Arabidopsis thaliana: one gene and its partner. The protein of the gene in region 2 purifies or fractionates together with the protein of the main gene of each other region. This does not show direct contact. Each region holds a gene or a part of one and is shown on either strand. Other genes may lie near its edges.

Region 1 (5,965 bases), on a different chromosome or scaffold from region 2:
AAGAGAGATACATACTGCCGGAGGCTCCCTGAAGTGAATAGCTCAGTTATTATGTTAACAGTCTTGTTCTTATCATCGATCCATGAATTATAGAACCTAATAATATTATTGTGCTTCAATGATTTCAACAGACGCACTTCAGAATAGAGCCTCTCCAGGCAATTCGGTGACTGCAAAACATCATCTATCCGTACTTGGTTCCATGCGACTTCAATTCCATCTACTTCATCAAATGCCTTATAACTGATTTCCTTGAGTTAAGGTACAAACCAAAAAAGATGCAGAATATAGGAGAAAGATATTAATTCATTCTCGTAAAAGAGTTTCGAAAAACAAAATCACTAAAATGATATGAGTACATTTCTAGGAAGCTTCTGATATCAAGAATACTCTAAATCTCCGAAATAAATATGAAAACAAACCGAAAAGGATACACAGTCTTGAATGCCCCTTTTCCAATGACCTCTTTATACTGAAAGGTCCACAATTGATTGGTTAAGAACATCAGAGATCTAAATCACCTCACAATATTTACTCAAACCTTAACATTAAGAAGTAAAACAAGCCAAAGGGAGGTGGAACTTGGTTTCATAGTATCGACCAATTGAATGGTAAAACACTTAACAAATAGAAAAAAGATAGCATTCCAATTTCCAAAGAGCCTCTTCATACCCGTATATATCGAAAAGTTGGATCAACTTCGAGCACTTCGGGGTCAGGAGGCTCTTGAAGTGCAGAAGCATCATCTGTACCTTCCATTCTTTCTTAAACCTTGCAAAAGTTGACAACAGAAAACAAATCCATAAAAACACAGAACGATCATAGAAACCCTTTAGATTCTTTTGGGTGCAACACCTTGAAATAAAAAGAATTTCAAGGACAACAAGATACTCACACGCTAATTCAACTCTAAATCCAATTTTTTGTGAAACTTTTTAACCTTCGATTACTATCCAGCTCATATCAACAACAAAGACAAAACAGAACAAAAACAAAATTAAAGTAAAGCTCGTCAAAATTTAGGATCGTGACATAATTTTTATAAAAAACAATCCAATACTCTTCTTCTCAGATTATATTCTGTCAAAATATCCACATTCGACACAGGTATAAACAATTGACATGAACTATTTCATAATTTTGAGAGGAGAAAAAAAAAATGCATACATGAGTATACATTCATATACATTCACATCAATGCATACATTCATATGAACATAGAAAACACACGATTAAAAGATTTTCTCTCTCAAAAAAAAAAACGGTATAAGGCAACAGAATCGCGTAAATTTGTATTAATAAGATTCTGACGTTTCGATTATACCTGGAGAAACGAAGCTTTGTTCTGTAATTGAGACGAAACGGAGAAGGAGAACAACAATGGGAAGAAAAATCAGAACCCTAATTGAGAGAAATCGATGGATGAAGAAGAAGATGCAGCGACACGGGAAATTATAACAAGTGTTTGTTCTTAGCTCATTTACGAACCACCACCTCTATTTTAATTTCCTTCTTTTTTCCCAATATTAATTTTTAGAAATGATAATTTTTCCAAGTCCTAAAAACAGAGAAACGCTCTCCCCATGCAAATATGACGTGTCAATACACGTGGCATTTAATTCGGGGTTGTCAACCCAATTGATGACGTTGAATATCCACTAGGAAAATAGCGAAAACAATAAAACACATGAAATTTAGTTCAATTTACCTAAAAATTATTATTACATAAAATTAATTTATTTCATTGTCTACGCAAAACGCATACCACCACTTCATGTAACCAAAAACATTCATAACCATTGAAGGGGACTCCCATGAAGAAATTGTCTGAGTAAACATTTCAAAGAAATTGATTTCCTCATCGTGATAACCCTAAAATGTTGTTGTCATCTTCGTCCGAGGAGGATCCATCATATAAGCTCCCACTAGTGAGTCTGTTAGGCACAGTCAGACTATCTTCCTTTTCCGACTGTCCAATCTTGATGTCACGGTGTTTAACTAAGAGCCAGCGCAGCAGTTTGTCTTCCTTGTTCAGGTAGTGAAGCTCCTTGTTCATGTTTGGAGTTGTCATCATTGTTATCTGCATCAATTGTCCCTGCAAAACATTCACCCGATATGAAGGCAGAAAACACTTAGCAAACGCATGACTCTGCAGATTAGTAAGAGAGGAAAGCTAATAAAAGTGGATGTTCAATTTTCACTCTCTGCAGATTCTATCAAAAATACATAGGAGATTGATGTTTAAAGCTTTTGTACTGATACTCTCAAAACATATGATAATCCTACATCTATAGTTGATCGAAACAAATGTATCCCGTTACTTCCTAGGTATGTATGAATTATATATTCTCCTTCTGTTCCTATATAGCCAAATTGTCTAATAACAGAAACAGTTTGAAGAAAATGTATAAGCGAAAGCTGCGATTATTTGTACCAGGTTATCTTACAAGTAATCAAATTTCAAACTGAAGATCCAAAGCACAATCAAATTCTTTGGACAATTCAGTAGATAAGAACTTATCTAGAATCCTAGCTGTTGTATTACCCTCATCAGGATTTTCTGGAATCTTAAGTTCGAAAGGAAACACTGTCGAGGAAATGAAAATCTACAAAATACCATAGACTAAACGCAACGTTTGTGACTAGTAAGAAATCACAAAACAAGTATCACTTCAGGATCGTAGCCAGTATTTGTGTACAAGACCGCATAATTTCCCCCAAGTCCAGCTATTTAACCATAAGAATCAATCAGAAAGTTACAAGACACAAAGCTTTTTCGAAAGGCCAACCTAAAACATAATGCTAATAATAAGATTGCTTATCTATCTACGGTTATAGCATCAAACTAATAATCAAACTCCACACTGAAGATCCAAAGCAAAATCAAGCTCTTTGAACAATTGACTAAGATAGGAACCATTCTAGAATCCTACTGTTCTGTTATCCTCATCAGGATTTTATAAATCGGGTAGACAAAATCACGCAAAAACAACCTTTACTAGTAACAATATGATGATTTTGCTTCAAGAATCCAACTGAAAGTTAAACTAAGCGTAAGTAATCTGGGCGAAAGAAGTATCAGTCCATGGTCGTAGCAAGCATTTGAGTAAAATGACTGTATAAATTCCCAAAATCTAGCTATCTAACCATAAGAATCGATCAGAAAGATGAAAAAGACAAAGCTAACACAAACCTAAACTAAAATGCTAATACCATTGAATCGGCCTGGAGAAAATCCTGATCAAACAAACTCTACGGACTCATAAACCATCGATTCAGTAAGAAAACTAACGAAATTGAATACCTGATAGTGTCTTCCGTCGAGCTTTCTAATACCGTAACCCAATTCGACCTTGCCAAAGGATTTGATCTCGGTGAGGACGCCATTTCTGCTGTAAACGTGTTTACCAATGCGCGCAACGAGGTCGATGAGGCCCTCCTTCCTGATTATAGGCTTGAACAGAAGCATACAGTCGTAGAGCGGCATTTTTGATCCTTCTTCCTTCCGACAAGAGATTAGCTCTGGCTTGTTCTCTCAGGTTTACCTTAGGGTTTTAGTCTTCTCAGATTTCGCCGATTGGGTCATTACCAAACGGCGACGTGTTGTTAAGTTTTTTTTAGTGAAAACGACATCGTGTTGCTATATATATTATTTTTGTCTGAGAGTTCTTAAATTTGATTTGGAAAATGAAATAAGAAATTGTAGAAAGCTTTCATATTAGTTGACAACAAATGAAAGCTTTGTAATGATTATAAATAGTAGTTAACATATGTTTACCATTTTATTTACATGGAATTTTTTTTCTTTTTTTCCTGGGTATAAGTTTATTTACATGGACCAATATCATCCAAAGAGTAGAGAGCTTAATATTATTTACATAGGCACACATTATATGAAAAAAAAAAAAAAAAAAAAACAAACCGAAACCCAAAATGGGTCAAGATTCTGAAACATCAAACATCAAAGGGTGAAGTAATAGTAACCGAGGAAGGGTTTGATGTGGATTGACCAAGCAACAAATGATTCTTCATTTCTTTGTAAGACCTCAACTCTTCCAAAGCATCAGCTGTTGTCTTTGAGGCCAGAGCAATCCCCGAGGCTGTGATAGACGCTACTGCTATCTCATGAGCCCCTGCGGGTTTGTTGTTGTTCGAGCAAATTTCAGGTCTGGAAGATTCAGAGACATCTTGTCTGAGAGGTGGCGCTTTCTTCAGCATTCTCACAAGGGCACCAACTGCAGCATCTTGGGACTTCTTCGGGTATGACCCGCTTGAATCGAATGGTTCATGTATGTCTCCTCTGTGGTCAAACGACCCTGGTCTGAAATAAGGCAGTAAACCAAAAATCAGTTTCTTCTACTGGAAACAGTTACAAAACAAAGTCTCAAGAACTGAATCAGAAACCTTGAGACGAACCATTTCAAGTCATTATATGATTAACTTATTATCCCCAAATATATCATGATATTAGTGATAGAGAAGAGTTACGATTTCTTGGTTTCTCTACTAAACAGTTCTCTTTCTTCTTTTTAAAAGATCAGTACAAGAATACCCCAAGATTGATCGAAGCTACACAGATACAGAAGCATTACAGTAACCATTTCGGTCTTATGGCTGTAAAATCTCAAAGAAAGAAAGAACATGAACTAGCTTCTTAAGCCCTACTGATTAGCATAAGAGGCCAGGATTAGTAAATCACTTATTTAGAAAGTCAATTGGTTTTGAAATATAATAGCTATCCACTTAGAAGGACAACCTAAAGCAATCAAAATATTAAATGCTTGGGCTGTAGATAAATTGGAAAGGAGAAAATGAGATATGTAAGGTTTTTAAGACCATACCTGCTATTCCGATCTGTAATATCATCATACTCAACATCAAATGGGCAAGGGAAATCAGGATCATCAAAATCGTCTTGGAAAGATCTACTGGAACTCCGGGAAAATGATATCCGCGGAGAACTGCTGGAAGACGGCCTCACCCCAGAAGGTCTTCTAAAGTCATCTCTCCCATAAAGAAACAGCTAGAAGGATAATGAATATCAGTTTAACTCGTTAAGTCACATGATCAAGAAAACAGATAAAAGATAAGACATGTGGAGTACGTTTACCTTATCTATTGCTGCTCCAGATTCACCAGGACCCAAGTTTCTCACAGGCTTCAACGAAGCGTGTCTCGACAACTTCAGATGAGCAGAAGGTGCCACAACGTTTTCTTTGGACTGGAAAGTTGGAGCTGGTATTCTGACTGGAGCACTTTCAGTACGTGTGATGCCTCTTGGGACGGCGTGTTTTGGTGCTGAAGGAGAAGGAGGAGGGGAGAAATCTTGACAAGGAGAATACTCTTCGGGGTAGCTTTCCTTCCTACGACCAGTGGGTATATCAGAAGGGTGAGGAGGAAGATGACGAGAGCAAGGATGTGAAACCAATGCATGTGAATCCGAGCGTGTAGGCGATGGTGAGCAAGAAACAGAAGGTGGAGATGCCTTGTAACGATCGAAACTCCAGCTATGGCGCCTTTGAAATGGCAGCAATGGAGGAGAACCATATGAAAGAGGAAGGGAAGGGAACCTCTTTAAAGGATCAGCCAAGGGACTTCCAACATAATCGGTTATAAATGTTGGAGACATAGGTGTAGAGTGTTCGCAACTGACATCTGAGAGAGAACGATATAAAACCGATAAGCAAAGTCTACCACAGATCGTTTCAACCGGTGTGAAAGAAAACTTCTGCATTTCTGCTTCTTCTTTACGAGTGAATGGCTCAACTATAGAAGGGACCCTAGGAACAAGCTTGAACTTGAAGATCTGCCCCGAGGAATTGAGTTCCCGAAAAATCTTATAAGCAGGTAAAAGCCTAACCATGACAAACAATGATCTAAGCAGCAGAGTAGCTTTCTTATACATCACTTGCAACTTATTACTGCTTGACCTCCTGCTACTAGTAGTAACAGATTCCCTGATCTT
Region 2 (6,776 bases):
AAGTTTTCTAAAAATGCAGTCCTTATAATTGTATTAAACACACTAAATCTTCCAAACACACAGAAGGAAATCACTATAATTGTTATAATGGATATAGGAGAACTAACTAAAAAAAAAAACGCAAAGAAAACTTTATACAGTACATACTCTTATGGTCTTACCAATTACCAACGATGTGTTGGTTACACAAGGTAAAATATATCGATCGTAGTACTGGATTCATATTATTCATAATATGATGGGAAAATGAAGAATAAAAGTACATTTTGTAAGTAGAATTCAACCATGAACTGTTTGGATTGGCAAACATTTTTTATTTGTTTTTGGCAAACATAAACTCAAATAAAATATCTAGGTATAATTGTGGTTCATACAAGAATTACTTCATACTGTTGGGCCAAAGGGTACGTATCCTTCCCCGCACCTCCAAACCATGGGCTTACTACTGATCGGACATCAAAACCTTGTTAGTTGCAACCAACGAATAATAAGTCAATACGATTCAACTTGTCAACAAATATACAACTTATATGACATGTCTGGCTCCAAACTGGATTTGAGTAGAAAGTTACTAATTCACAAAAACTAATTTATATACACATTTTCAATTTTTATTTTATAAATCAAAGAAAAAAAACATGAAAATACGGGAGGTTCGGCAAACACAACATTTAACTTGCCAAACGTAGCATCTAACTATCCCACCTTCTACAAGGCACCATTTTTTTTTCAATAATAAAGTTTTTTTTCTTTAATTTCTTCGCCAAGAAGAGCACGAAATGTTTGCCAAACGCATATGCAACAACCCCACGTTACATATTTCTATTTGTAGCTATAGAGCAAGCTATATTGTTAAAAACTAAAAAGAAAATCTTTACTATAACATATAGATAGAGGATTCGAGATATCTTGAAAGACTCAACTTAATAAATAAAGTCGAAAAGAAAACACGGAGGCGAGAGGACCACACACTCGCACAGAAAGAGTCTCATATCCTCTATAACAAATTGATAAACTAAACTAAAACGACACGTGATGTCTTGATCAGCCAATAAAAAGCTACCGACATAAGGCAAAAATGATCGTACCATTAAACGTAATCCACGTGGTTTCAGATTACACGTGGCACCACACAAGTATCTCCATTTGGCCTATAAATATAAACCCTTAAGCCCACATATCTTCTCAATCCATCACAAACAAAACACACATCAAAAACGATTTTACAAGAAAAAAATATCTGAAAAATGTCAGAGACCAACAAGAATGCCTTCCAAGCCGGTCAGGCCGCTGGCAAAGCTGAGGTACTCTTTCTCTCTTAGAACAGAGTACTGATAGATTGTTCAAGTTATAACTCTTTGAAAACAGTTGAAACTTGATCACTCCTAGAACTTCCATTTTCTTGTTTAATTTAGTTTGTCGTAATTATGTAATTGATTTTGTGTTGACCATGGTTGTTATATAGGAGAAGAGCAATGTTCTGCTGGACAAGGCCAAGGATGCTGCTGCTGCAGCTGGAGCTTCCGCGCAACAGGTAAACGATCTATACACACATTATGACATTTATGTAAAGAATGAAAAGTCTTCTTAGAGCATACATTTACGCAGATTTCTGATATTTTCATATGGTTTGATGTAAATGTTATAGGCGGGAAAGAGTATATCGGATGCGGCAGTGGGAGGTGTTAACTTCGTGAAGGACAAGACCGGCCTGAACAAGTAGCGATCCGAGTCAACTTTGGGAGTTATAATTTCCCTTTTCTAATTAATTGTTGGGATTTTCAAATAAAATTTGGGAGTCATAATTGATTCTCGTACTCATCGTACTTGTTGTTGTTTTTAGTGTTGTAATGTTTTAATGTTTCTTCTCCCTTTAGATGTACTACGTTTGGAACTTTAAGTTTAATCAACAAAATCTAGTTTAAGTTCTAAGAACTTTGTTTTACCATCCTCTTTTTTATTGCACTTAATGCTTATAGACTTTTATGTCCATCCATTTCTCAATTCGGCTACGTTGAATTATAAGGGTCACATAAGCAAAAAAATATCTTAAAAAGTCATAACATTAAGGCAAAGATAGATTCTTAAAAGTACTCAAATTGAGATCACGAAAATAACAAGTTAGAAGTTAGAACTTCCGTAGGATATTTATAAGAACAAAAGATTAATAAATGAAGGCAATGATTCTGGATTCCTTGCAAGTTAGGAAGTTCGAAATCGTTGTGGTCAATGGTCATGGTAAATACTGATCCAATTAAAACTATATGAGAAAAAACTGGTAGCTATAATAAAACTAGGGGCTAAACTCGAATTATCATATCATTAAGTTTTTATTTTTGTTTGCTCTGCGTCATTGTGATGGGACCTTCTCTTTGCCTTAGATGGTTTCGTTTACCTCAAAAAGTCAAAAATCAAAATCCTCACTAAAACCCTAACATTTCCCAGAGCTTCGCAATCGCTGTTCTTCAGTCTCGCTTCTTTGTAAACTGTAAAGGATCAAGCTTTTCTATTCAGATCAAATCCACTTCACTATACCCTTTTTTAGTTTCGTTAACCCAGCTCAAATCCGAGATGAGATATCAACAATGGCGATTGATGCTTCTTCGAAGCTACCATCGTTCTCATCTTCCTTATCTATCTCCTTGTTCTCAGGTAACCTCCATTTCATCGCGATCTTTCTCTTCTTTCATTCACCCTGGGATCGGAGCTTTGCAACAAAGTGAACAACTTTGTCCCTTACGATCCCCAATGACGAGCTCTGGCAACTTAGTGAAATCAGTGGGTCGAAGCTTCTCGTCCGAGCCTGCGGTTGAAGAGAAATCTTCTGCTGAGGCTACCGTGATTGATATTTTTAGTAGATTGAGTGGTGAGGATGAGATTAGGAAGGAGTTGGAATCGAGTGGTGTAGTGATTAGCCAAGATTTAGCTTTGAAGGTTTTGAGAAAGCTCGAATCAAACCCTGATGTTGCCAAAAGTTTTTTCCAGTGGATTAAGGAGGCTTCTCCTGAGGAACTTAGCTCGAAGAACTATAACATGATGCTGCGGATTCTGGGTGGTAATGGACTTGTTGATGAGTTTTGGGGGTTGGTTGATGTGATGAAGAAGAAAGGGCATGGTTTATCGGCTAATGTTAGAGATAAAGTGGGTGACAAATTTCAGAAAGATGGGCTGGAGAGTGATTTGCTGAGGCTGAGAAAGCTTTTTACTTCAGATTGTTTAGATAATTCGGCGGAGAATGTTTGCGATAGGGTGTGTAAGATTGTGATGAAGGAAGAATGGGGTGATGATGTAGAGAAACGGGTAAGAGATTTGAATGTTGAGTTTAAGAGTGATTTAGTGAAGATGATTGTGGAACGTCTTGATGTTGAACCCAGGAAAGCTTTGTTGTTCTTCCGGTGGATTGATGAGTCTGATCTCTTTAAGCATGATGAGAAAACCTATAATGCTATGGCTAGGGTTTTGGGAAAAGAGAAGTTTCTTGATAGATTTCAGAACATTGTAGTAGAAATGAGGAGTGCTGGTTATGAAGTGGAAATAGAGACTTATGTTAGAGTTTCAACGAGGTTCTGCCAGACTAAATTGATCAAGGAAGCTGTTGACTTGTTTGAGATTGCAATGGCAGGTAGTAGTAGTAGTAACAACCCCACCCCACACTGCTTCTGTTTGTTGCTCAAGAAAATTGTCACTGCCAAGATTCTAGATATGGATTTGTTTTCAAGAGCTGTGAAAGTTTATACCAAAAATGGTAATGCTTTGACGGATTCCTTGCTGAAATCTGTCTTAAAGTCCTTGAGAAGCGTGGATAGGGTTGAACAGAGCAATGAGCTGTTGAAAGAAATGAAGAGAGGAGGCTATGTTCCTAGTGGTGATATGCAGAGCATGATTGCATCAAGTCTTAGTCGTAAGGGAAAGAAGGACGAAGCTGATGAATTTGTAGACTTTATGGAATCATCCGGAAACAATCTAGATGACAAGGCAATGGCGTCTCTTGTTGAAGGGTATTGTGATTCCGGGAATCTTGATGAAGCTTTAGTGTGTTTCGAGAAAATGGTTGGAAACACGGGAGTCTCCTATGCTGATTATTCATTTGAGAAGTTGGTTCTTGCTTATTGCAACAAGAATCAAGTAAGAGATGCATACAAGCTTTTGAGTGCACAAGTAACGAAAAATCAACTGAAACCTCGTCATAGCACATACAAAAGCTTGGTGACGAATCTGTTGACGAAGAAGATTGCAAGGGATGGTGGGTTTGAAGAAGCTTTGAGTCTTCTACCGATAATGAAAGATCACGGGTTCCCTCCTTTCATTGACCCTTTCATGAGTTACTTCTCATCAACTGGAAAAAGCACTGAAGCTCTCGGTTTTTTGAAGGCTATGACCTCGAATAACTTTCCATATATATCAGTGGTTCTGCGTGTATTCGAAACTATGATGAAGTCTGCAAGACACAGTGAAGCACAAGATTTACTCTCTCTGTGCCCAAACTATATCCGTAATAATCCGGATGTTCTAGAACTCTTCAATACCATGAAACCCAACGAATCTGCTGTAGAAAAACCTTTGGCTGCTTCTGCTTAGCTCCAGTTTTAGTTTACATTCCTTCAAGTCTTTTTGGTTTCTGGGCATTTGATTCAAATAATTTGGCCAGAATATTTCCTGCTGTTCCCTTTTGTTTACATGTATCACTCACCAGTCACCAGTTAACTTTCTTCATCAACCTGGTGCACTGGCAAAATAATTTTAAGGTACTATGTTTTTTTATATTCCACTTGCTTATCATCTTATGCTTCTTGGCTCTGCCATGGATTGTTCCGTGTATCATCATTATTTGTTAACAAGATCTGTCTGTAACTCTGTTCTCTTTTTAACTTTTTCTCCGCACTAATGTATTGCCTATTGATCAGATACTAGTGCTTGACATTACCAAATATCAAATTGGAAGATCTTTGATGTTGAGAAAATCTGTTTATGAAAGTCCCATTGTTTAGTTTATAATTTGAGAAGTAAATGATGTGCCTTTTGTTGAAGAGAATCAACCAAGCCTATTGTAAACATGCATGGCTCATGGGCCTGAAAGATTAAGATACGAAAACTAGTCCAACATAGAGAGAGACTCAACTCTCAAGGATAGTTTTCCATAGTCTTTGTTCTTTTCTGATTATTGATAGAAAAACAGGACCACAAACCACGGTCCGTTTAGTAATTGCATCTTGCATTGTAGTGCTGATCTTTGTCGCGATCTATATCGATCTGTTTTGTGCAATCTTGATCTGTAATTCTTCTGTATGTGGATGTTTGAAATCTTGCACCGTTTTCATTCTCATTGTCAATAGCATCATCTCTGCAAAGTCTTTTGAAATTTTCTGAAGAGAGTGTGGAGAAAAAAGGACTGAACGAGGAGGAACAGATCGGTGAGAGAGCGACATAGCAACATAAAAAGACAACAAGCTTTGATTAATGTTCTTACAAGAAATGAGACAAAAGAGTGAAAGAGTGAAATAAAGAAAAGAGAGAGATGTGTCATCATTTCTCTATGATTAGTTGCTATTTAACAAAGGGGACCGTTTCAAACACTTGGATTCATCCGGCGGGTTTCTGGTTTTTGAAGCAATCCCATATGCTTCTTCTTTTTTTCTTAGGTCGGAATTTGGCAAAAGAGAAAAACAGGTTTAAAGGTTTCAACTTTCAAAACGAGGAGACAAAGTTTCAATCACTTTCCCGGCAAAAAAAGCTATAAAGAAAAAAGAGAGGATATCAATGGTGTAAGCACTAAGTAAGCACGCTTAGTTACCTGCTTGCTTGGGACCGATTTATGTGAATCTAATATTTACGCATGTTTCGAGTTTAAGATTTTGCTTCAATTCGTTACAAGGTCTATTTGAATGTTCTTAATATTTAACCCAACAAAAGATTTATATATATGAACTGAGCTATATATGAGTCATGAGTGATGATTCCTAAGATTCGTGTATAATTTTTAGCTTGAGAAAAAAAATTCAAATTGAATGAACTTAAGATATGGCTATCAGTATTTAGACATATAAATAGGTGGCTGTAACATTATATGGTTTCAATAAATTATTTGGATTTGTTAAAATGTTGCGACACTATTGGGTGATGGAAAATGAAAGGTTGATGTTTTGTTTATACCAAAAAAATAATTAAAATGAAATCCCATGATGCATGTTGTTGAATAGGAGTAGCAGTTGGTGTGTTGGGTGGTCAATCCATAAGCATTAAACTCATTATGTAACTATTTCAAAAGTAATATATATCATTAATGAGATGTTTAATTATAACACAAATGTCCCATAAAAACAGTGGTCATGAATTTGTCAACAATTTTTTAATATAGAAATTTAGTTGAAATTATTGTAAGATTTTAATTGATCATCTTGTGTTTAACCGTTGACATGAATGGTTTCTTCGAAATAAGCGGATCACATGAAAGAATCAGAAATATTGTGGTTACTGCTACTAATAATTGATCATCTTAGTACTGCATATTACACGAAACATAAGCTAACTAATAATCTCACGCTTTGATGTAATAATCACCTAGATAAAGGAAATGATGGAAAATTGCTTAGATGATTCATTTTCATTGACTGACAAGACATAGTTATAAGGGTAAACGACCTGTGTCCCCATGAAAAGTTTTATATACGCTCATAACTCTACAGATTTCGGACCTCGTCCCCAGTCCACATGAAACTAAAGTTAAAAACCACGTTCCCCCTAAAATGAAAGTTAAAGACCTCGATCCCCATATTTTT

Evidence for each region. The genes of interacting proteins can lie anywhere in the genome.
Region 1: the proteins of AT5G15980 (region 2) and AT3G18760 fractionate together in Arabidopsis thaliana (co-fractionation; one large-scale study listed by BioGRID). This does not show direct contact.

The regions. Positions count from the first base shown.
Region 1 is NC_003074.8:6,456,072-6,462,036, forward strand, and holds AT3G18760 (Translation elongation factor EF1B/ribosomal protein S6 family protein), read right to left. Parts: upstream 3,655-5,965; 5' UTR 3,488-3,654; coding exon 3,305-3,487; intron 2,096-3,304; coding exon 1,859-2,095; 3' UTR 1,606-1,858; downstream 1-1,605. Other genes in the region: WNK6 (with no lysine (K) kinase 6), read right to left, coding at 16-243, 435-472, 673-759; AT3G18770 (Autophagy-related protein 13), read right to left, coding at 3,955-4,321, 4,842-5,023, 5,111-5,965.
Region 2 is NC_003076.8:5,210,719-5,217,494, forward strand, and holds AT5G15980 (Pentatricopeptide repeat (PPR) superfamily protein), read left to right. Parts: upstream 1-2,343; 5' UTR 2,344-2,571; coding exon 2,572-4,578; 3' UTR 4,579-4,956; downstream 4,957-6,776. Other genes in the region: KIN2 (stress-responsive protein (KIN2) / stress-induced protein (KIN2) / cold-responsive protein (COR6.6) / cold-regulated protein (COR6.6)), read left to right, coding at 1,248-1,304, 1,466-1,534, 1,649-1,723.